Linked DNA regions of Caenorhabditis elegans. The protein of the gene in region 2 interacts with the protein of the main gene of each other region in a pairwise test. Each region holds a gene or a part of one and is shown on either strand. Other genes may lie near its edges.

What was found. Proteins that work in one complex are often made in the same cells at the same time.
Region 1: the proteins of unc-62 (region 2) and odd-2 interact in a two-hybrid assay, tested with the Caenorhabditis elegans proteins (one large-scale study listed by BioGRID).
Region 3: the proteins of unc-62 (region 2) and elt-6 interact in a two-hybrid assay, tested with the Caenorhabditis elegans proteins (one large-scale study listed by BioGRID).

What each region holds. Positions count from the first base shown.
Region 1 is NC_003284.9:6,158,079-6,163,723, forward strand, and holds odd-2 (Protein odd-skipped-related 2), read right to left. Parts: upstream 2,450-5,645; 5' UTR 2,408-2,449; coding exon 2,097-2,407; intron 2,021-2,096; coding exon 1,567-2,020; 3' UTR 1,299-1,566; downstream 1-1,298. UniProt on the Caenorhabditis elegans protein: May function as transcription regulator. Required for morphogenesis and function of the digestive tract.
Region 2 is NC_003283.11:4,494,907-4,501,962, reverse strand, and holds the start of unc-62 (Homeobox protein unc-62), read right to left. Parts: upstream 4,501-7,056; 5' UTR 4,497-4,500; coding exon 4,374-4,496; intron 2,634-4,373; exon of another isoform or gene 2,168-2,633; coding exon of another isoform or gene 2,156-2,167; intron 745-2,155; coding exon 563-744; intron 245-562; coding exon 94-244; intron 47-93; coding exon 1-46. UniProt on the Caenorhabditis elegans protein: Acts redundantly with ceh-20 and ceh-40 to perform overlapping roles during embryogenesis.
Region 3 is NC_003282.8:1,914,460-1,922,942, reverse strand, and holds elt-6 (Transcription factor elt-6), read right to left. Parts: upstream 4,967-8,483; coding exon 4,826-4,966; intron 4,392-4,825; coding exon 4,275-4,391; intron 3,772-4,274; coding exon 3,555-3,771; intron 3,401-3,554; coding exon 3,174-3,400; intron 3,111-3,173; coding exon 2,922-3,110; intron 1,886-2,921; coding exon 1,811-1,885; intron 1,739-1,810; coding exon 1,601-1,738; 3' UTR 1,299-1,600; downstream 1-1,298. Other genes in the region: Putative transcription factor egl-18, read right to left, coding at 5,583-5,819, 8,013-8,258.

The sequences.
Region 1 (5,645 bases), on a different chromosome or scaffold from region 2:
AATCATTCTGAATACAGTCAATTTTCTCTTCAAATTCTTGCTATTACAGAAACATATTTTGTATAGGAATCTTTAAAATATACCTTTCATAGCTGCCGATGAGCACTTTGAACAAGAAAATTCATTCAAAAAATGACTAATTTTTTAATACGGTTTTCATAAACCTGTTTTTTTTTGAACATATCAACAAATGATTAGATAATTGAAAAAAATAATGTTTTCGTCGGTTGTAAGTTTCTTAACAACACACAAGTTTAAAACATATTTGTGCCAGTTTGTCTCTAATATGACTCGAAAATATGAAACTTTTCTAAAAAAACACTAAAATGTATAAAACCGTGTGATTTAACGTAATTAGAATTAGGAATAAATAATTAATCAATAGTGTCAGAATTGAGCTTAAAATTCAGTAAATGTGAAAATTGAGCGATTTTTTGTTTCTAGTCCATTCCGTATTATGAAAAACAAAACATACACCACAAAAACATTTTTTAATGCAATTTAACTTTAAAAAACATTTTCATGATTTTCAAAAAATGGGATTTTTGAAAACATTTCTGAAAATCTCAAAAAGCCCATAGCAGATTGCTAGTCGATTTTTCAACTTTCTTCTCCCTGTTGCTCTTTGTTTTGAAGATCAGAGTAGAATAGTAGTTACAGAAATGCTTTAGTCTTTTCAATCACATATCAATACTAGATTTCCGGCGAAAAATTCGAAAATGACCCTCAAACCAAGTGGTAGTCTGATCGCAATGAAAACTTCTGAATAAGACAAAAAAAACTGAATTTAAAAAAATCAGAACTTGTTTATTTCTAAGCATGGCAAAACAAATTTATCTTCTAAAAAATACAAATAAAAGCATTTCTCACACGACAAACCAAAGACATACTAATGTTGCGAAACATTACTACAACATGAAACTATTCAAATATATTTAATTGTCTGAAAATTTACTATGCTAAATCTTTAATGCCCAACAAAAAAACTTAGTTAAAATATTTTCAAGTTTGGTTTTCAAACCAATTTAGGAAATATGTGAGATAATTAGGGTTTTCAGAGATTTGGAATGAAATCTGTGTGCACAGTTTCATGAATTAATAGTCAATGCTGAAACTTCAATGAGCTAGCTCAAAAATTTGCACATTGTGAGCCCTTTGCTGTGGAGCTCATGCTGCCTTCTATCCTCTTCAAATCATTTCCGGTTTGAAAACAGACACCCATCTGCAATAAACGGTGCCGACCGTGGATATTGCACATATGATCCCTTGCTGCCCTCTTGTAAACTCTATACACCGTATTGCAACGTCATTCAGAAAATGTTTTATTTTTGGTACAATATTGTATCTGACACAATCACAAATCTAAAACTTTGACCCTATCAAGTATGAAGAGAGAAGGTAAATCGAAAAAAATATAGACATATGAAAAAAAAGAGTAGCATATATTGGAAAAAACAGATGATCCTCAAGTAATACTGGACAACATGAAAATGTTTAAGCAGGAATGACAAAATTGACCGTTTTCATAAGAAAGCCTAGATGCCAAATACTAATTCTCAGCAGAATTTAGCGATCAGGTGAGATTTGTGGGGATGTCATAGACGTCGAATTAAAGCTATCAGTGAGATTTTGAAGAATTAATGTTACTCGTGGATCCAGTTCAGGGAGTGGTGTTTCACTTTTGATTGGTACAACTGGAGCTCCAATACTGTGTCGGTTTGGATCATGTGTTGCACGGTGGACGAGGAGAGTTCTTGATTGGCAGAATCCTTTCCCACAGATTTCGCATTTGAATGGCCTGTCCTTTTGGTGGATATACTTGTGGTCTCTAAGATGATCCTGACGACGGAATGCTTTTCCACAAACATCACACGAGTATGGTCGCTCATCAGTATGTGTCCTTTCATGGATCAGGAGGTTGTAAGACTTGGTGAAGTGACGATCACAATATTTGCAGATGAATTCCTTCTTTGGTCGGGCTGCTCGGCCAGTAGTCCTTCCACGTCCAGGGATCATGAACCTAAAACTAAATAGTTGAGATGATACAGTATAAAATTTCTTATCATCATATCGTACATTATGATACAAGAGCTTACCATGGTTGATCGTAAGGAACAAATGGTCGAACGGCTGCAGTAGTGAGCGTCGGGGACATTTTTGGAGACACACTTTCTTCTTTGATCTTCTGTTCAGATTCAATTGAATCAGCCATGTGAGTGAAGTCAAATTTTGCTTTCTTGAGATCGGTGATCATTGGAATTTCTGGATTCATAGCAAGCAGCGCCATTTTCCTCTGCTGCAGAAAATTTTGGAGTTGGAGGTGTTGTTGTGCAAGCATCATTCGAAAAACTTGTTCATTTGATTGAGGAAAAATTGATGTTGGAACTTGTCGTTGCCACGGAAGCATTTTTGTGTGTGCGGGAAGGGCTAGTGTTGATTCCAGCTGAAAAGAAAACAATTATTTCAAATTGATTTGAGGTCGCAAAAATAGCGGAACGAGCAAATACGATTTGAAAAGAGGGAAAAATGATGATACCGTTGGGCAATGTAAGAGAGCAGAATTCAGAAGAAGGAGCGATAGTTATTGTTTGCTCCTTTTCAAGAGAAGTTGTCACTTTGTTAACGAGTATTATCGTCTTATGGGGTAATCTACTACAAACAAATCTAAAAGGAGGAGAGGACTGAACAGGCGGAGCACAATGTTGCGGTGGTGGTAGGGATGACTGTCAAGAAAGAAGGAGGATCACTTACAACTCAGTGGGATACTTTGACTCTATGGTGCCGCTTTTTTGGGAGGAGGGCGACTCACATTTTACACCACGCGTCATCTATGAATTTTTATAGACTCGCTAACACTTCTGAATTTTGGAAACGGCGATAACGAATGATTGGAAATGGAAGAGGGGCGAAATTGAAAGAAATTCTTTGTGCTGGTCGGTAAGTAGAAAGGTTTTGATGGCTTGTTGATGCTCGGGCGCATGATATTATCAAGTACACGGCGGCTATAAAAACGGTTGGCTTCCGTGCTTCGGTCCTACATCAAAGGTAGCCGACGTGCACGGAGGTGTTAGGGGAGTGTTTACCAAACAGTAGAGGTGTATGTGACTAGAAGCTATCTATCTCATTTGCAAGTTATGAAATTGAAGAAAATGAGAACCACATTTTCCATATTGACTCATAGAGAAAACCAGCAGAAAAGAGTCGAAAAGTGTAGAAAAAGTAGAAAAAAGTAGGGGAAAAATGAGAAAAAGGGAAAGCCTTTTCGGGTGAAGACTCGCGGTGATATGCAAACATTAGACATTTTCAGAAGGAAGAAAGTTAGCAGAAAAAAAGAAAAAAATCACAGTTAAATATGGGCCTCTTCTATTGACAATATGATGATACTGTGACTTTGACTCTCCCCGTTTTTCTCACTCTATTTCGGCGATGTGGAAAGAAGAATGGTGCCAAAAAAGAAACTTTGGTATCAATGGGGAAAAACGAAAGCGGACAGGGAGCAGAATATCATTCTCAACCTATTGTTATGATAAAATCGTATCGCGAGCCACCTATTTTCCCGCTTTTAAACATCTCAAAAATTTTTTGCTTCATGTATAATAGTTTAAAAACAAGAAATGATACAAATTATGATGCATGCTGGCCACATAAAAAACAGTAGAACCCTCTTCCGTACGGTTGCAAAACACAATTGAAAAATGTGGGTAAAACGGCGGGAAATTTGTCATTGAATCATATTAGCGGTTCAGACTAATACTAATACAAAATTTTATATGCACTTTTGTCGAAAATTTGGGCACTACAAACTGTATAAAAGTTTGATCTTAATTTTTCAGCTTGAAAATGATTTTTTTAACAGATTCTCCAATATGGAATTTCCAAAAGTGGTACTTTTCAATTTAGTTTTCACAGAATGTGCTCGAATGAGCACTGTCTAACTTAGCTAGCTAGCTACTGTGTAACGATAAAACTGTTGAGTTAAGACAGTTTTTGTTAGAGATCTTCAACAACTCACACAAATAGTTGAAAAATTTGCAGAACCAAGTTTTCAGAACATACAATATCGCCTATACTTGGTAGAATGGAGGAACTGAGTGGCTTCCCAGAAGCAGACGGAGGCGGCCACCACCTCGTGTTCAGCTCGTCTTCTCCTCCGACACGCCCACTGTCTTTGCTGCTGCTCTCTCGGCGGGCGCTGGTTGACTGACTACGGTAGGCCCTGTGCTGCCGTGCACCGCCTACTTTAGAAGTAGAAGTAGATCTTTGAAGATTTCATGACACCCTTTTCAAAGAAGTTTTAGACCTAACTATACTTTTAAAAAACCGTGAAACTGTCTGGAGCGATAAGAAACATAAAAAGCGCCTTTAGGTCTGGATAAAGTTTTTCTAGACACACGGGAACCGAATCTATAGAGAAATTCAAAATTTTTGATTAGGTAACTGTAGTACACCAAAAACATAAGTGACATTTTATAACTTGACTGATGACAACTTAGGACATCTTGCACTATTTAGATAACATTTGCACGACAGTTATACACCTTTCTAGCTACTCGTTAATGATGAGTTATGGAAGTAAACTGTCCTATTATAGTGAACAGAAATTTTGAAAATACACATTAAAATTTGACATAAAAGAGAATGACTTGGAATATGGAGTACCGCGCGGCAGAAAAACCGCCCACTTTTTTTTGAGCAAACCATTTTTCTTGGCTATTCTCCGTTTGAATTTGGTTTCAAAGACGACGACAACTTTTTATGAAACCTATCATGTTGGGGTGGTACGTGTTCCTTTTATGACTCTCACTACATAAACGTTCCCTTTTGGTGCAACATGCCGACTAATGATAATTGACTATTATCTTTGAAAACACTAGAGGTGAGTAGATGGGATGATAGTTTAATGATAAAAAAGACTTGGAAAAAATGAATCAAAATTCTATTTACCTGAAGATTATCCACCGTAGTGATGCCAAAGTCAATCACAAAATGAAATAAGGTGTGAGTCAATGATGATTTCCGGAAAAGGTGTGCGAATCGTGCAGAACAAGGTTCTTTCTGTGTGAAGAAGAAAAAAGGGTAATGATAACAAAAAGCGTAGGCTTCTATTTAGTAGGTAGTTTTAGGGGTACAATTAATCCGCTTACTGCAAGTTAGGGAGGAGCGATAATGCTGACAAGATGCAGTTATCATGAAGTTTTTGACGCCAATGTCTCGGTTTTGAAACAAAAAGGACATATCGGCTTATAGGTATGCGAAACTTTGTCCCAAGCAGTGGAATGATGGGAGGAATGTGGAAATTTTTGTAATTTCCAAGTAAATTTTTAAAAATTCTATTATGTAATTTCCCATGTCGGTATCCTCATAACCTCTGTGTTGAAGACTCCAACCGGTGTGAATTGTGCATTTCCATTAATCCCCTCCTTGAAGAAATGATACTCCCGGCTCTCATCCCAAACAGAACCCCCACTGTTTCAGACAAATAAACATCTTCCCTTTGCGCAACACCCCCGGGTACCGACTCCCAGAGTATTAGAATAGGAGGAGAACTTTTTGTGACGATACAAAAGAATAAATTGAAGGTATGTTGAAAAAGAAACGGACAGAAAATTCATTAGTGAGCGACGAGGGAAACCAGCATTGTTTTG
Region 2 (7,056 bases):
GTTGTGGATTCGGTACATAGTACTGCTTGTCAGCATTCTCTTGGGTCTGTAAAACTTTCTTTTTTTTCATTTTATTATTTCCCCGAAACTTACATGTCTTACAAATTCGTTGAGATCATCTTTGAAAGACGCGCTGGAGCACACGTCCGATGACGTGGATCCGTCGCGTGACGTGTCTCGGGGCGTTGACGTGGCGAGCTCGCATTTTTCGAATAGGAGAACTAGAAGTGGATAGAGTGGATGGCTGAAAATTTGAAAATTGTTAAAAATCAATTTTTTTTAGCGATTTGAAAGTATTTTGAAAATGTAATAATTTTAACGAAATTTAGAAGCAGAAAATTTTGAAATTTTTTAATTTTTTTTACGTCAAAATTTTTTAGCTTCAGCTTCTCAGGCACGTCTCCAAACATGAGGACCTATGTTTTGCCTGCCTACCGCCTACTTTTGAATTTTTTTCACAAATTTTTGATGACTTGTTGAATGTTTAATTTTGAAAAAAAAACAGGCACAAGGCAGGCCTTGTAGGCAGACTTTATAAAATTAAAATTCAAAAAAAACTCACGCATAAATAGACTCCTTATCCCGTTTCATGGCTTCACCCATCTCATGGTGCATCATCGGAGTTGACGTCGGCGCGCCACCCATATTCGTGTACAAATTGTAAAACGCCGCCGGATCGGCAATATAACTGGCTGGGTCGGCGCTCGCCGAGCCCGGTGGTGGACCATATCCATCGTTGAACTGCTGAAAAAATATGGATAAGATTAGATAATTTTATTAAAAGGCGCCTAAATATGTGAGGGATTTATGGGTAAAATCTTATCTCTTCTTCTGACATGGCTAGCAAAAATTTTGCAAAAAAAAAATCAATAATTTTAGTTTTCCTCCAAAATCTTTTTTTTTTCGAAATTTCGGTACAAAGGGGCGCCGTTCCAGATTTCGGCAAGATGATAGGCGGATTTTTTGACGAAATAAATCTTCTCGGCCCCCCGATTCGGGTAAAAGAAGATGTGAACGGGGATAACGGTGGAAGGATAAAGTGAGAAATTGAAACCACGCTTTCCTATTTTTTTTTCTTTTTTCTTTTTTCTGTGTCTTGTCTCTCAAATTGATTAATTGATAAATTGTATTGATAACTAAAGAGGCCAATTTTTTGACACTTTTTGGAACCATTGGTGGTGGTGGTCATAGGCATTTTTTCTAAGCAGTAGCCCAAGCTCATCAAAATCATTTTAATGGGTTTTATTAGTCAGCGGGGAAGACGGGGAAAAGGGGTGGAATTTGGGACATTTTCTTATCTTTTTTCAAATGATTCCCGAGAAAAAGTGATACTGTCGGTAAGATCGTAAAACTATTTGTGATTCTTGTGTTGGCTTCGGAAACTAAAACTAAAACTAATCGATGCAAGGAAAAATTTAAGAATGAGGGGCTTAATATAAGTACTTATATTTTGAAATATTCACTGGTGTTATTTTAACGATTTGCAAAAGTCGATAGTATTCCACCTCACTACCTCACTTTGAAAAGTTATATCACGGTTCAATTAGAAGATATAAATAAATAGTCAACTACAAAATTATAGAAAAAGAAATAATACGGATTTTGCCAGTTGACAATTTTTATATAGGATGAACGAAAACTGAGATATAAGCTGTCAAAGTTGGACGATGGGGTGCAACTGTTAGTCTTGCAGACCGTAGCTTCAATTTGGCAGCTCATTGTAATTTTCAGTTAAAACAAAAAGTTCTAAGCTGACAAAATATTTGTTTTTTCTAGAACTATAGTTTTAAAGTATTATATTCACTGATTTTCTAGAGATGAGCAGAGATACGACTTTTCGAGGTATTTGGGGTCAAGTTTTTCTATATTCTGAAGCTTGGGAAACTATATTGTAACTAACCAGCGCTTAAAACAAGGCGAACACCTAAAAATTGCAATTTTGAGATCTAGAAAGCGGGAAAAAAGCGACAGCGACGGCGCGGTGGGGGGCGCAATGGCTGATTGGAAACCCAAGAATGAGCTCGAGCCACCACCCAACACAACGATAAATTATAGAGGAGAAAAGGAAAAAGGGATGGCGCTCTTTCTGGTATCATGTCAAAGTCAGAAGAAGCAGAGGGGAAACGGAATGAAGGAGAAGAAGAAGAAGAAGTACCCTCTGCGCCATCGTCGTTGCCGACACACGGGGCCTTGCTGAATAAGATGAACGATGGTCGTGTCGGGATCGAAAACTCTTTCCACAACGGGGTGTCAGTCAGTCAGTCTGTCACACACACGATGATGGTCAGAGCTTGTCGCCCGCCCCTTCTTCTTCTTCTCTCGTTGATCGATTGATTAGTGTGCCGATTTGATGGGCCGGCGGTGGCGGCGTGTGTTCTTCTCTGCCCTGCGTGTGATGTCGATGATGATGGAACGAACGTAAATAATATGACAGACAGATGAATATCGAAAATGACAACTTCTCACACACTTCAAAACGGTTGTATGTCAATCTTGTCCGATCGTTGGGGGGAGGGTTGGTGGGGTGAATGTGGGCGGGGCTCCCTCTCTCTGACTCTCCCTGGTGGGGGAAAAATACGAGAAACCACCGAAAGAGAGAGAAACGGGCAACCGGGGGGCAGATCGACTCGCTTGCCTTCTCCTCTCTCTCTCAGTCTATTTTCCCCTGTTAGCCCCCCTCGAGAGAAGGAGTGAGTGAGAGAGAGAGCGATGCGCCGGGGCCCCGCCCTATTGCGCCAATAGGCACTCAATTCGGTACAGTAGACCCCGGGTGTGAGAGGAGGGTGAGAAGGCAAATTTGGAGAGGAGTAGAAGAAGTCAAACACGAAGAAAACGACGACGACGACGACGACGAAAAAATACATGCATTGCATTTTCCTCTTTTTTTTGTTTTAGCGAGACGAGGCAAAAAGTCAAGTGTGGGGGACCTCAGGTTTTCCAGCTAACACAAATTTACATTTTCTACCAAGTAGTACCCGATTCTTGGCAGCCAAATTCCATGTCGCCTATCAATTTTCCAATTTTCCACCCTCGATAAGAAACACATGATTAATGTGATTAAAAGAGATAAATCGGTCGGTGGGGGGGGGGGGGGGGGGGGGGGGAGCGATGATGAGACGAAGAAGAATGAGGAGAGAAAAGATAAAAGCGGCGGACAATTTGTGTGAAAATTATCAGGATTTTGTTATTGCTTTTATGCTGTTGATATTGATAATCGGATCATCGGCTGTTAAATTGCATATTATATCGTGGATGTGTGGAACTAGCTCTATGAACTTTAACTGGTAGGTTGTAAACCCAAAAAATATGTTCTTAGATTTTTATGGTAGTTGTTGAAGGTGGAGTAGCGCCAATGGGGAAATTGTTAAAAACCACTCCTATGGTCCCAAAATGACCGAATATCGTAATAAAACATCATCAAACAAACACATCAAACAAAAACATCAAAACAATCAAAAATTTTCTTAAATTTTTTTATTTGCGGTCAAAAAGTGACAATTACTCAGTTTTTGTTACTCATAATTTTGGAAGTCGACCAAAAAAAGTTTTTTCCTACATTTTTTACACTTTAAGCTTATTTTAATTATTCGTGTTGAAACATTGTAGGGGGCGAAACATGCGACATTGCTTTGGATTTCCTCGAAAGCTCATATTTTTCAAAAATTTGGCAATTTGGCAAAAGTTTGAACGGAAATTATGAAAAAGCTAAAATTTTGTGGGGTGTTTTATTATAATATTCGGTCGTTTTGGATCATTATAAGTGTATTTAGACAAAATTCCCACTGGCGCTATTCCACCTTTAATATACTTTTTTCATAATAAATTCTGAATTTTTAGTGGATTTCCGAATTTGAAATTTGTTTTCCTATGTCAAATGAAAAAAAATCTGTTGAATTTAGCTCCTGTGGCGAGACCAACTCAGAAAAAAAAACAATGTGTGCCTTTAATGTGATGTTTCAAATTTTTGCGAAATATTACAATATTTTTTCCCGGTTTCTTGAAATTTATATTTCAATGAAAAACCAATTTCGAAACTCTAAAATTTTTACAATTTTGATTTTATAGATTTTATCAATTTTCTGAAAGCATTTTATCGTAACAGAACTGAAAAATTACAGTTCATTTTGAACATTTTTTTCATTTTTTTTTCCGAAATTCCAAAAGTTTTGAAGTTTCAGACAATACAAAACCCTTCAAAGCTCGATTTATAAAATTATTTTTAATTCTAAAAATTGATTTTTGAATTTCTTAAACTACAATGTGAAGATCCTAAAGAATTTTTTAATCGGCAAAAATTTTTTCAATTTTCAGAAATCAATTTAATTAGGAAATTTAGTCGCAAATTAAAACAACAACCAATTCTTAAATTTTACCTCATTGTGATCCCGCTTCTCTCGTTTGATGCTCGACGTGTCCAAATCGTACGTCGAAATTCCATTTTGAACAGCCCAAGTGTCAGCGGACGCGTGAGCCCACACTTTTGAGTCGCCGCTCATGTTCCTGCAAGAGAGAAATATTAAATTTTGAAAAAGAAAACGTGAAACTCATTATCATTTATCAAAAGAGTCTGTGCGTGAGCAACAGCAGATGGGTCCTCGTGGCCCGAAAGCACAAAAAGCACACCAAAAAAAAAGGGATGGATTCGAAAAAAAAAATAATAAATAGGCTCCGCAAGAGATGAACCAGGAGGGCAAATTCAAGTTTACATGCTGCTGTCCTGTGTCCAATGTCCTCCGCATTGAAGATAAATTGCTTTTGTTCGTTTTTGCCCCCACTAGGTGCACAAAGCTGTTCTCATTATATTTTTGAAATTCGAACAAAAAAAATGTAAGTGCTAAGGAAAAATAAAGTGGAAAGAATGAAGATTGGAACTAGTTTCTTTTTATTTGATAAGGTTTATGTAATGTACGGTATGAGACTGAAAAAAAAGTTTCATTATACCGCCAGTTTCACCGGAAGTTTTTTGTCATGTGAATGAGCATGAGCTGAGGAAATGTGACTAGTTTGGAAATTAAAAAAAAATCTAAAAGTGAGTTCGGTTTCTGAAAGAAATTTGCTCCACCGAAAATGTGAGAAACTATTTTGACGGCCTATATCTCTGTTGCTTTTGATTGGATCAAAAAATGTTTAACTGGTAAAATATAGAAAAACATTTTGCGCATATTTTGTCAGTTAAAATTTTTCTGATAAAATCAAAGAGAGCTGAGATAGAAGCTGTTAAAGTGGAGCAAGACGGGTGCAAGCCTACTAAGGAAATTGCGGACAATGTCCTAATTTTTCAAATTCATTATCAGGAATCAAAAAAGCTCTACCAAACCTAGTCAGCTATTTCCAAGTTTCCACAAAAAATTAATTAATTAAACAAGATCCTTCTGAAACTACACTTTCCAGATTGTCAACTAAATGTGCACCTATGAATGTAATAAAATATCGCAACCTTTCGCCTCTTCCAGAGAGCACAGTCATTTTTTGACACATTTTCCTTATCAATAATCAGAGAGTAGAGACATAGAGATGCTAACATTAAAATACAAAAGTTTCAACATTTTTTCCCTTCAATGCACCACATCCCCCGTTTCCCTCATCTACTTATACTCCAGCTGCACTTTATTAACGTCGCCTTTTGTTCTAAGGGGATTAAGATTAGGATCATATGGAAGAGGAGGGGTAGGAGGTGTCAAGTGGGATAAAGTTTCAGACTGTTTTTCTTTGTTTGGTAACATGGTAGACACGGGAAGAAGATTAACCTATAGATTTCAGATTTCCTGGAAGGTAGCGTGTGGTGCTTTTGTTGCTTGAATTGACAGAATTGAGTTGTTTCAAAAATTCTAGAGTAATAGGCTCAGCTCAAAAGATTAATCAAAGGCCTAAATTAAAGGCCAAAATTATGAGGCTAACAAATTTTTAAACCAATTTTTTACAAGCTTTCCATTTTCAATATAGCTACTGTTTCTATGCAAAAGAGCTACTGCTCTATCCGCCTTGCCTCTTTTTGCTCCACTTTGACGGCTTATAACTCGATCCCATTAGGGCTTGTAAAAAAAATTTTCAACTGACAAAATTTGTGCAAATATTTTTCTACATTTTTACAGTAAAACATTTTTTAATAAGACTAAGGACAACTTAGATATAAGTCTCTAAAATAGAGTGAATAAAAAAAAGCTAATTTAGAGGCTAACAAAATTTGATTCATTTGTACATAGTTTTGCCATTTTGTTTCCCAATCTGATCTACTTTTTCTTCTCCATAGTCATACTCAAAAACCTAGGCAGATCTTTGCTCAACGAGGCTGACGTATAAACTGATAAGCTTACGGTGTGCTCTTTGCTACGTGCGCCGAACATTATTCGAAAAAAAAAGTTATCAGTGGTTTTTTCTTCCACGCATCGTATCGCAATCGATGCTCTTGCTCCCCTGCTCTTCGCTTCTATTTCGATTCTCTCGCCTGGCTCCCCAAATACCGTACCAGGGGATGTGTATGCCTACTACAGTAACCCGTGTGTCCACCACCATCACAACCACCGACCAGCCGGCCCGGTGTTGGTGGGGGGGGGGGGGGGGACACGAAACAAAATTTGAAAAACGGGCGGCCCGCGCGCACGCTCTTTTTCCCTCTCCTTTTAAATCGATACGTTTCGTCGTCGGTGGTGGTGGTGGTGGTGGTAGTGAGGGACGGAGGCAAAAAAAGGAAGGAGAATTGCGTGGACTTGCACCGGACAAGTCATACAAATGATTGATGGGGTCTATAGAAACCCGTCGAAAAAATTGGAGGAGGAGTGGGCACCGGGGCAAAAATGCTAACGAAACACAACAAAAAAAAAGATTTCGATTGAATCGTTGTTGGTGTGCCCCCCAGCCAGGTGCACCGCCCCCTATTTTACCTCATTATGTCAAGTTGTAAACGAGACGCCGCTTAATTGGTTTATGAGATGTATCTGTCAATTTTAAGAGGAGGCCGGCCCATTTTATGTGTGTATGATTTTTAGGTCAAGCCGGCTGGAGCAAAAAGTGACTAGACTGGCCTCTAAGCCTTAGGGGGGATCGGGGAACCGACAG
Region 3 (8,483 bases), on a different chromosome or scaffold from region 2:
CTTTCAAAATTTTTCTTCCGAATTTGCACTCATCTCGCCTGGAGCTTAACGATAAGTATAATCATGACCCATTTCCATTAGTTTCCGAAATTCTTGGGTCTCGCAACGAAAAACTACAGTAACCCATTGAGTTTCTCGGCGGGACCCTTATATGGTTGTATTCAAATTGAAGCTCTCCGATTGATGAACTCAAATGTTTCATTAAGTTGTTAAAATTTTAAAAAAGTCAGGGCCCACCACGAAAATCCCCGGGTTACGGTAGTTTTCATGGCGGGACCTTGAATTTGTCAAATTTTGGATTTTTAAACATTTTTATAAGATTTTTTAATACTAATTTTAATAAAATTAAAGTTTTAAAATACGCTGAATAACAAAATAACTGTGAAAATTTCAAATATTTGCGGAAATTAAAAAAAAAATTTAATTTTTTTTGTTTATTAAAATAACAGTTATTAAATATACTTGCTTTTAACTTTCAAATCTAATCAGTTGTAATAAGGTTTCAAAAATATTGGGTCCCGAAACGAAAACTCGTGACGGGACCAAAAATTTTTGAAAATTGATTGAACATAGACATAATTATACTTATTTTAAAACACTTGGCCAACTAATAACAGACATAACAGTGACACTCAAAAAACATCGGGTTTCTGTAGGTTTTCGTGGCGGGACCCAAAAATGTCCATTTTTACAGATATATTTGAAATCAGCTCACTAATAGCTTCAATTTAAGTCTTATCATGACAAATTTGGGTCCCACCACGAAAGTCACGAAAGTAACCCGAGGGATTTCGTGGCGGGACCCAAAAATTTTCAAAACTATCAAAACCTAGCCATGATTATACTTATTTTGAAGCTCTCGGCGAGCTGAATCTAGGAAAAATACCAAAAATTGAAAATCCAGAGGTTTGGACAAATTTTCAGAATTTTCGTTTTGAGACCCAAATTTTTTTTCAAATTTCGAAATTTCAGATTTTAAGGTTTTTATGCAATTGAGAGATGTTAATTAAATATGAGCTTCCCATACTTCTTTGAAATTTGAGAAAATTTGGGCCACCACGAAAGCCTACAGTAACCCTGGGAATTTCGTGGTGGGATATAATTTTAAACATTGAATTCATCAATCTGAGAGCTTCAATCTGGATACAATAATGTCATGTTTTCCTTTGTAAATTACAGGGTCCCGCCATGAAGTTCTCCGGGTTACTGTAGGTTTTCGTGGCGGGACCCAAAAGTTTCCCCTTTTTTAAAGCTTTCATTGATCTGAAACTAGCTTAAACCTTTTTAAAAGTTTCCTTCCTGCATGATAATATTTATTAAAGGAACATGGATATGCACACAAATAAACTCGGTGCTGGGATTATTCTGTTCAGATATTGCGACAAAGTGAAAGAGACCTGCACTTCTAATAAGGGGGAATACAATAAAAATTTAAATTGCAAAAAAAAAAATGTTGAGATTCTTTGTTTTTTCAGAGACCACCGCAGGGGTCAGTGGGATTTTTTGTTGGAAAAGTGAAAACGGAAATACTGATAAAGCTCACAGTTGATCGGGAGGGGACATTGGGGGATATATCACACGAGATAATAAAATATAATAATCAGGGAGACTTGCGCTGCTCCTGTGACTGATTCAACTGATTAATTTGCTCGAGAAAGGTCAGCGCGTTGGCTCCACCGTTAGCCATGCTCGGTAGGCCGAGAAGTTGACTGAAAACGGCTGCTTGACTGGTTGCTGGCTGAAAAGTTTAGAGTTTTTTCCAAAGAGTTTTTTTTTCGCTGGAAAAAAATTGAGCAAAACAACGGCTCACATTTTCATCTTCCCTCATTCTTCTACGGAATCGCTGTTGGATAAAATCTTTTCGCATGTGAACCGGCCGATGTGTCTGAAAATTTGTAGAGTTCAGGGGGGAGAATATTGAAAAATGAGGTCTGAAATTGGGTCTCTCCACAGATGAATCCTAAACGTTTTAATGCTGCGAGTTATTTGGTTCAGTTAGGGCTCACAAACCGAACATCCGGTTATCCGAATGTCATTTGTCAAGGTTTTAGGTTCCAGACTTTTCGGACGTGTAGTTTCTCAAAACCAGCGGTAACATCAAAAAGTAGTTCGGGGGCCTAAGCTTAAGCCTAAGCCTAAGCCTAAGGCTAAGTTTCAGCCTTAGCATAAGCCTAAGTCTAAGCCTCAGCCGATGCTTAAGCTGAAGCCTGGGCATAAGCCTAAGCCTAAGCCTAAAACAAATCCTAGACCTAAGACTAAGTCTCAGTCTGAGCTTAAGACTAAGCCTATGCCTAAGCCTAAGCTTAGGCCTAAGGCCGAGCCAAAGCCTAAGCCTGAGCCTATGCCTACGCCTAAATGTAGGCCTAGGCCTAAGCCTAATATAAGCCAAACCTAAGCTATAAATCCCTTCTCCAGATTCATTCAATACTTCCCTTAACTCGTTAACTCGCTCACACTTTTGGTTTTTTTCCTTCTTTCTCTCTCTCTCTCTCTCTTTCTTGACCACAAAAACCATCATCAAGATCCTCCTCACTCACTCAAAACCCATTCAATTTTCATCGATAATTAGTCGTCGTAGTCGGAAACGACCTTTCGAGATGGGTAGTGGTGGTGGTAGTGGACCAGTAGCTAGAAGTAGTACATAACATCAGCAGCCCCTATGGGTTTCTAAGAGGTAATCGGAGGACGAGCGTACGCGCAATCTTCTAATTATCTTTTGAAACGCGACGACGGATATATATATATTGTCAAGGTTGTGTGTTTTGAATTGGGTCAACACTATTGAAGCTCCTTTTTTGGTTTTTTGAGTGCTAGCTAGGCGTCATGTACTTCTCTACAGTAGTTATGGGCTCAATCTCTGTAAGAGTTTCCAGCAGTAACCACTGTACCTACAGTAACCCTCAGATTTTCAGCCAACTCACCCTATGCAGCCTATAATACAATCCACACGCGTTACAAACAAGCTTCCCCTCCAAATCCCTTCGCCACGCTGTCGTTTTTATTGTGGAGCAATTGGAGCATTTCGAGATGGACGAGTTGGCACTTGTATCGTCCTCCGAGCTACCAGCCGCCGCGGCGGTGGATGCGTGTACTGTTGGTGATGGTGATTTCTGGAATTTAGACTTGGTTTAGGTCTTGGTTTAGCAGTCTGGTCTGAAGACTATGCTACTAACCCCGTTGAACTGCATAGAGAGCTGATCGAGCAGAGTCTGCTCAACAGACGCACTTGGCGATTGGTTTCTGTTCTCCGACGGTTCCTGCTGCTTTGACTCTTCGGCTTTTACGGGCTTCTGCTCTCTCGCCTGCTGTTGAGCATGGTGATGAGCAGCGGCTTGATGTTGTTGTTGCTGCACAAGGTTTAGCAAGTTCATCATATTTTGTGGATTGGCCATGGGATCGACTAAAAAGTTTTCAAAGATTTGTACAAAGATCTTGGGATATCCTGCGCAGGTAGGCATGGCAGCTCTTTCAGGTCTTTTCCAAGGTCTATGTGGTTCTATTAAAAGCTTTATCACTCTAAGAACCTTTATTTTTCTAAAGTCAATGAAACTTACACACAAACCCGTTGAAATTCTGAAAATCGGGAAACGGAGAGCTCGCGGAAACCGGCGTCGAAATATTCCTTGTGATTTTCTCAAAAGGCGAGTCACTACCTCCATTCTCCAAATGTCGATTCACAGATTCTTTGGTGGGTTTCCGTTTGCGGCACCCTCCATTCGACTTTCCGACTGATGACGGAGAAGCACGGCTTTCAGTTGGTGATGGGGGATACTGAAATTTAAAATTTTCGTGATTTGGTCTTCTTGATTTCCAGAAATTACAATTATGACATGTGGTATCAGAGTGTCCCATCTCGGTTTGATCTACGTGTAGATCTACGAGAATCGCGAGAATTCGGACGCAGACTTCTCAACTGATTTAGCACGGTTAAGAACGTGCTGACGTCACATTACTTGAAGAAACAAAGAAAATCCCGCATTTTTTTGTAGATCAAACCGTGATGGGACAGCCTGGCACCACGGGACACAGCAGGAAGTTATGATCAACGTGGATGCAAAAATAAACAAGTTTCTTGGGAATGGCTCAGAATCGCGAAAAACTGAGAAAATAACTTTAAAACAGATTCAGTTTCTTTCTCGAAAATTGTCAGGCGGCGGGAAAATGCTGCGAAATAAGCTCAGTTTCAGCCCATTTTGGCTTATTTCTAAAGTTCCACCAGCTCCTTCCCGCAGAACTTTTGCAACATGGCCGCTAAAAGTTGTCAAAAATCTCACCTTCTCCTCGCTTCCGCTCTCGGACATTTGCTCAAGCAGGACTTTTTCCTTTTCACTGATAAGAGCTTCAAGCCTTCCGCACACTTCGTCAATTTTCGACATCATTTTTGAAACATCCTGTAAGAAAACGAATAGACCGGAGCTTTCAGCGCGGCGATTCAAATTCCTAGAATTTCAGAAATTCTCAATGAAATGAAAAATAATTTAATGTTTCTGGTAATCCGAGAATTACTTCATGTATGCCTGCCTATCGGCATTTGGCTCTAGTTGGCAATTGGGCAAAACTTGGGCAAAACTTGGATTCAGGCTGCACCAAAGTTTCCCCCAACTCTTACCAAACTTTGGTCCAAAATTTTCTTTTTTTTAGTTATACTTGGGTAGAAGTCTGACCAGATTTTAGTTTTGCCAAAGTCTTGCCCAACTTTTGCCCAAGTTTAGCCAGCTTCTTATCCAAGTTAATATTTTTTAGGCCAAACTTGGGCAAGAAGCTGGAGCCAAATGTCGAGAGTAGGCAGGCGCGTGAGCCTACTGCTAAACAAAATAATATGCACCTGTCGAATATCCTTGTGAAGCTGAGCGCATCCGGTGCACGCTGCTGCTGTAGTCGCCGTCTCCTCAACCCGATCCTCCATCTCCTCCTCCACCTCCCGGCTCACCATCTCATCCGGCATCTCCTCCTTCGACGACGTCATCTGTAAATCACGTGTGACGTTGTTTTAGAAGAAGAAGAAGTGGAGAGCGAGAGAGAGAGAGAGACGGAGAGAGACTGTGGAGCGAGGGGAGAGTGCGAGAGAGCGAGAGGACGAAGTTAAAAGCTAAAAGTGATAGAATGAGATACATACGTTTATCCGTCAAAAACCACAAGAGATAAGGAGAGAGAGAGAGAGTGAGATGAGATTTTTTCAAAATAAATATGAAAATGCAAAAATGATGATTCAAGTGAAATGACAAAGTGGTGGGAGGAGGTGAATATAACACAACCATGCACAGAGAATTGGGGGAGGGGCCTCCTGCAGAATGGGGCGGAGCCTAACTATTATTATAAGTTGTCGGAGGAGGAGGTAAAGCTCACAGTCGGAAACACGCGGTGAAGTTGGGGGAAATGGGGCACAATTATTATTAGAAAATTGGCGGAAAATTATTTAATACTGTATTTTTCTGAAGGGGTAATGGAATGATGAAGGATTGCTTATTAATCAATAATACATTATGGAGAATTTCAAATTTCAAATTTCAATAAATAAGAAAAATTACATAAAGGTATTGTGCATAAAAAGGATGTGAAGGGGGAAAAAATAATAATGATAATTAAAATGTGGCACTGCTATTCATGAGCTCTTGAGCCTGCGTGAATTGCGAGATTTGCTCGAGTAAATTGAATGTGTTGATGGCTCCATCAGTGCTCACTCCGCCGGTCGCCATCGTCGGCATTTGTGTGAGGAGTTGGTTGAAGATCTGTGTTGCCGCCGACGACTCTTTTTCCTTGTTCTTTCGGCGGTAGCGTTGTTGGATGTGGTTTTTGCGCATTTCTATTGGTCGGCGAACCTGGAAATTGGAAAATGAATTAGTTGTTAAGGTGGGAAGGATCTGGGTGAGCTTTTGGAAGGATCCTTAGGCATTTAGGAGCTTCTAAGAGGGGGGGGGGGGGTACTGTGAGGATCCTTAAGATCCTAAGTATCCCAGTGTGGTTGATCGCCACAATCGATCGCGCAGAAATCCAAGCAGCATAAGGGTCAGAATTATCTTATCAAAGGATTCTGTAGAATTGTAGATTTTCCCAGAAAATTCAGATCTCAGGATATCGGTGGAAAGATCCTTCGGATAGATCTTCGCGCTGGTAAATTTTAGAAGGATCCGCAGATGATGTGAATGTTCTTACTAGAGGCTGTAGGGGATCCTAGCGATGGAAGGATCGGAAGGATCGGAGGTCTCCTTTGGCTTAAGCTTCGATCTAAAGACTTCCGGTTGTTCTAGCATATCAAAGAATTCGTTGGGATCTCCATTATCACCAAGCTTCTGTCCTAGATAGCCTCACCGGATCCTAAGTCAGATTCTTGGATCCACCTGTCTCCTAATCAGACATCTGGTCTGTCCGGTCGTGATCGTCCCGTTTCCTGCACCGCCAATTATCATTTCTCCCAATTTCATAACCTTGGCCATATTAGATACACACACACACATCCATCTAAGGGCGGAACGTTCTTCTCAATTTGCACACACAATAGAGACAACAATAGGGGTGGTGGTGGTCTTCCATCTTCGGAGACGGCGGCGGGGTGGGCAATTAGGGTGAGAGTGAGTGTACGTGTATCAGCAAAAGGAGGGGGGAGATACAAAGTGGTGGTGAGAGGGGGATCACTCCGTAATTGCCGAATTTTTGATCCAGTGGAACTAATGGAAGGTCTTCTTGGGTATGGATCAGCTGATCTTACACCTTACACCGGAATCTTGAGGATCCTCGAATCACTGGAACCAATGAAACTTCTACAGATCATCAGAATCTTGAGCGATCGCCTCAAGATTGTTGGGATATCCTTGCTAGGTTATTCTCTGATGTTCCACCTCGGGAATCATCGACCTATTCCAGGAAACAGTGAAGCTCTGGTGCTTCTTAAGATCCTCAGAATCCTCAGGATCCTCCCTACAACTACCCCCGCCGCCAAAGTTTCGATATGGATTGGCGTGCGGAACCAAAAAGTCATTGGTGATGATGATGACGACGTTGAGGCTGGATTGTTTGCGCGCGCACGCGTGCACTAGTTTCATCTCCCCCTAATTGTCGGTGCCGGTGGTGAACAATAAGACGTCGTCGTCGTCGTTTCTTCTCCTAAAATGAATAAGAAAAGGAAGAGGTGGAAAGTCTATTCGAGTTACAGGTAATCATTGACTCGTCTCCTTCTGCGGCACGCACGCCGCCGCCGCCGCCGCCGCAGCCGATACGCTAATTATCGAGGTGGAGACGACGACGATGACGACGACCACATAATGGTTGAAGTGATGGAAATTGAAAGAAAGGTAGATACTGTATCGATGATGATGGAGATGATGATGATGATGAGGTGGAGAAGGTGGAGGTACTGTACTTTTGACCTACTGGGGTGGTAGAGTTCGAAATTCTTGATAATGCGGGGATCTTCAACAAGAACCAAGTAACTCAGAGCTTCTGATAAGGATCAGGATCGCATATGGGACGATCAGATGATCTGAAATCTTCACCTGAAGCCCAGGATTGCCAGGCTAAGAGGGTTATCACAGGCTCTCTGGCCTATCTAGGATCACCAGGATCCGAACATTCTCCAGAACGATTAGAGCAGCTTTAGAACCTGGATAGAGCGAATCTTCAGCCTTCAAGGATCGGCAGGACCCGAGAACCTTCTGATAAGATCTAGGATAGCTTGTGGAGCTTAGATCTTAGAGCCTTTAAGGATCAGAAAATCCTAATCTAGCCAAACTGACCTAGAAATCGTCTTCGGATCAATATCAGTCGCACAACTAACACATAAAAAGTAAGAAGACGAAGAAGATGGAGAAGAAGAAGAAGCTAATCTCATATTTCAATCTCCCCTCTCCTTCACTCCTATTTTCCCCTCATTTTGCCGCTATCTTAACTAGGTTGTTTCCTTCTATTCGCATCAGATAACAAACACTCTCTTATTCCCCCCATTAGAAGCTGTTACTGCTGCTACTCTACTGTCGCTGCTAATATCTTTCTGCTAATGAATAACACGACGAACAAACCTTGTGCAATCGATAGTAGAGCCCACACGGATTGCAGACAAGCTTCCCCTCGGCGTCACGTCGCCACGCGGTTGTCTTGTCGGTTCGGCAGTTGGAGCATCGCGCCGCGTTCGGATCACCACTCGTCTCGGTTTTCTCAAACATTGAACTGTCTTGGCTTTGGGATGATGGTGTGGCGACTGCTTCGATGACCGCTTGTACTTGGGATGATGATGATGGTGGAGATGTGGTGGAGGTCTGGAAGAACTGATATGTGATTAGGAGTGAATGTATTTATTGATTGATTGAAGGAGCTGCTGAAAGATCGCAGAGATCCTAAAGAACTCAGGGTGGATCTTAGAAGCTCCTCAAAGATCCTGAAAAACCCTAAAGCAGCTAAGGAGCTCTGGGAGGTTTCAATGGATCCTGGCGACTTTCAAGGGCTCGCTGGAAGTCCGCTGGAAGTCAGGGCAGCAGTTAAAGCTTGTCAAG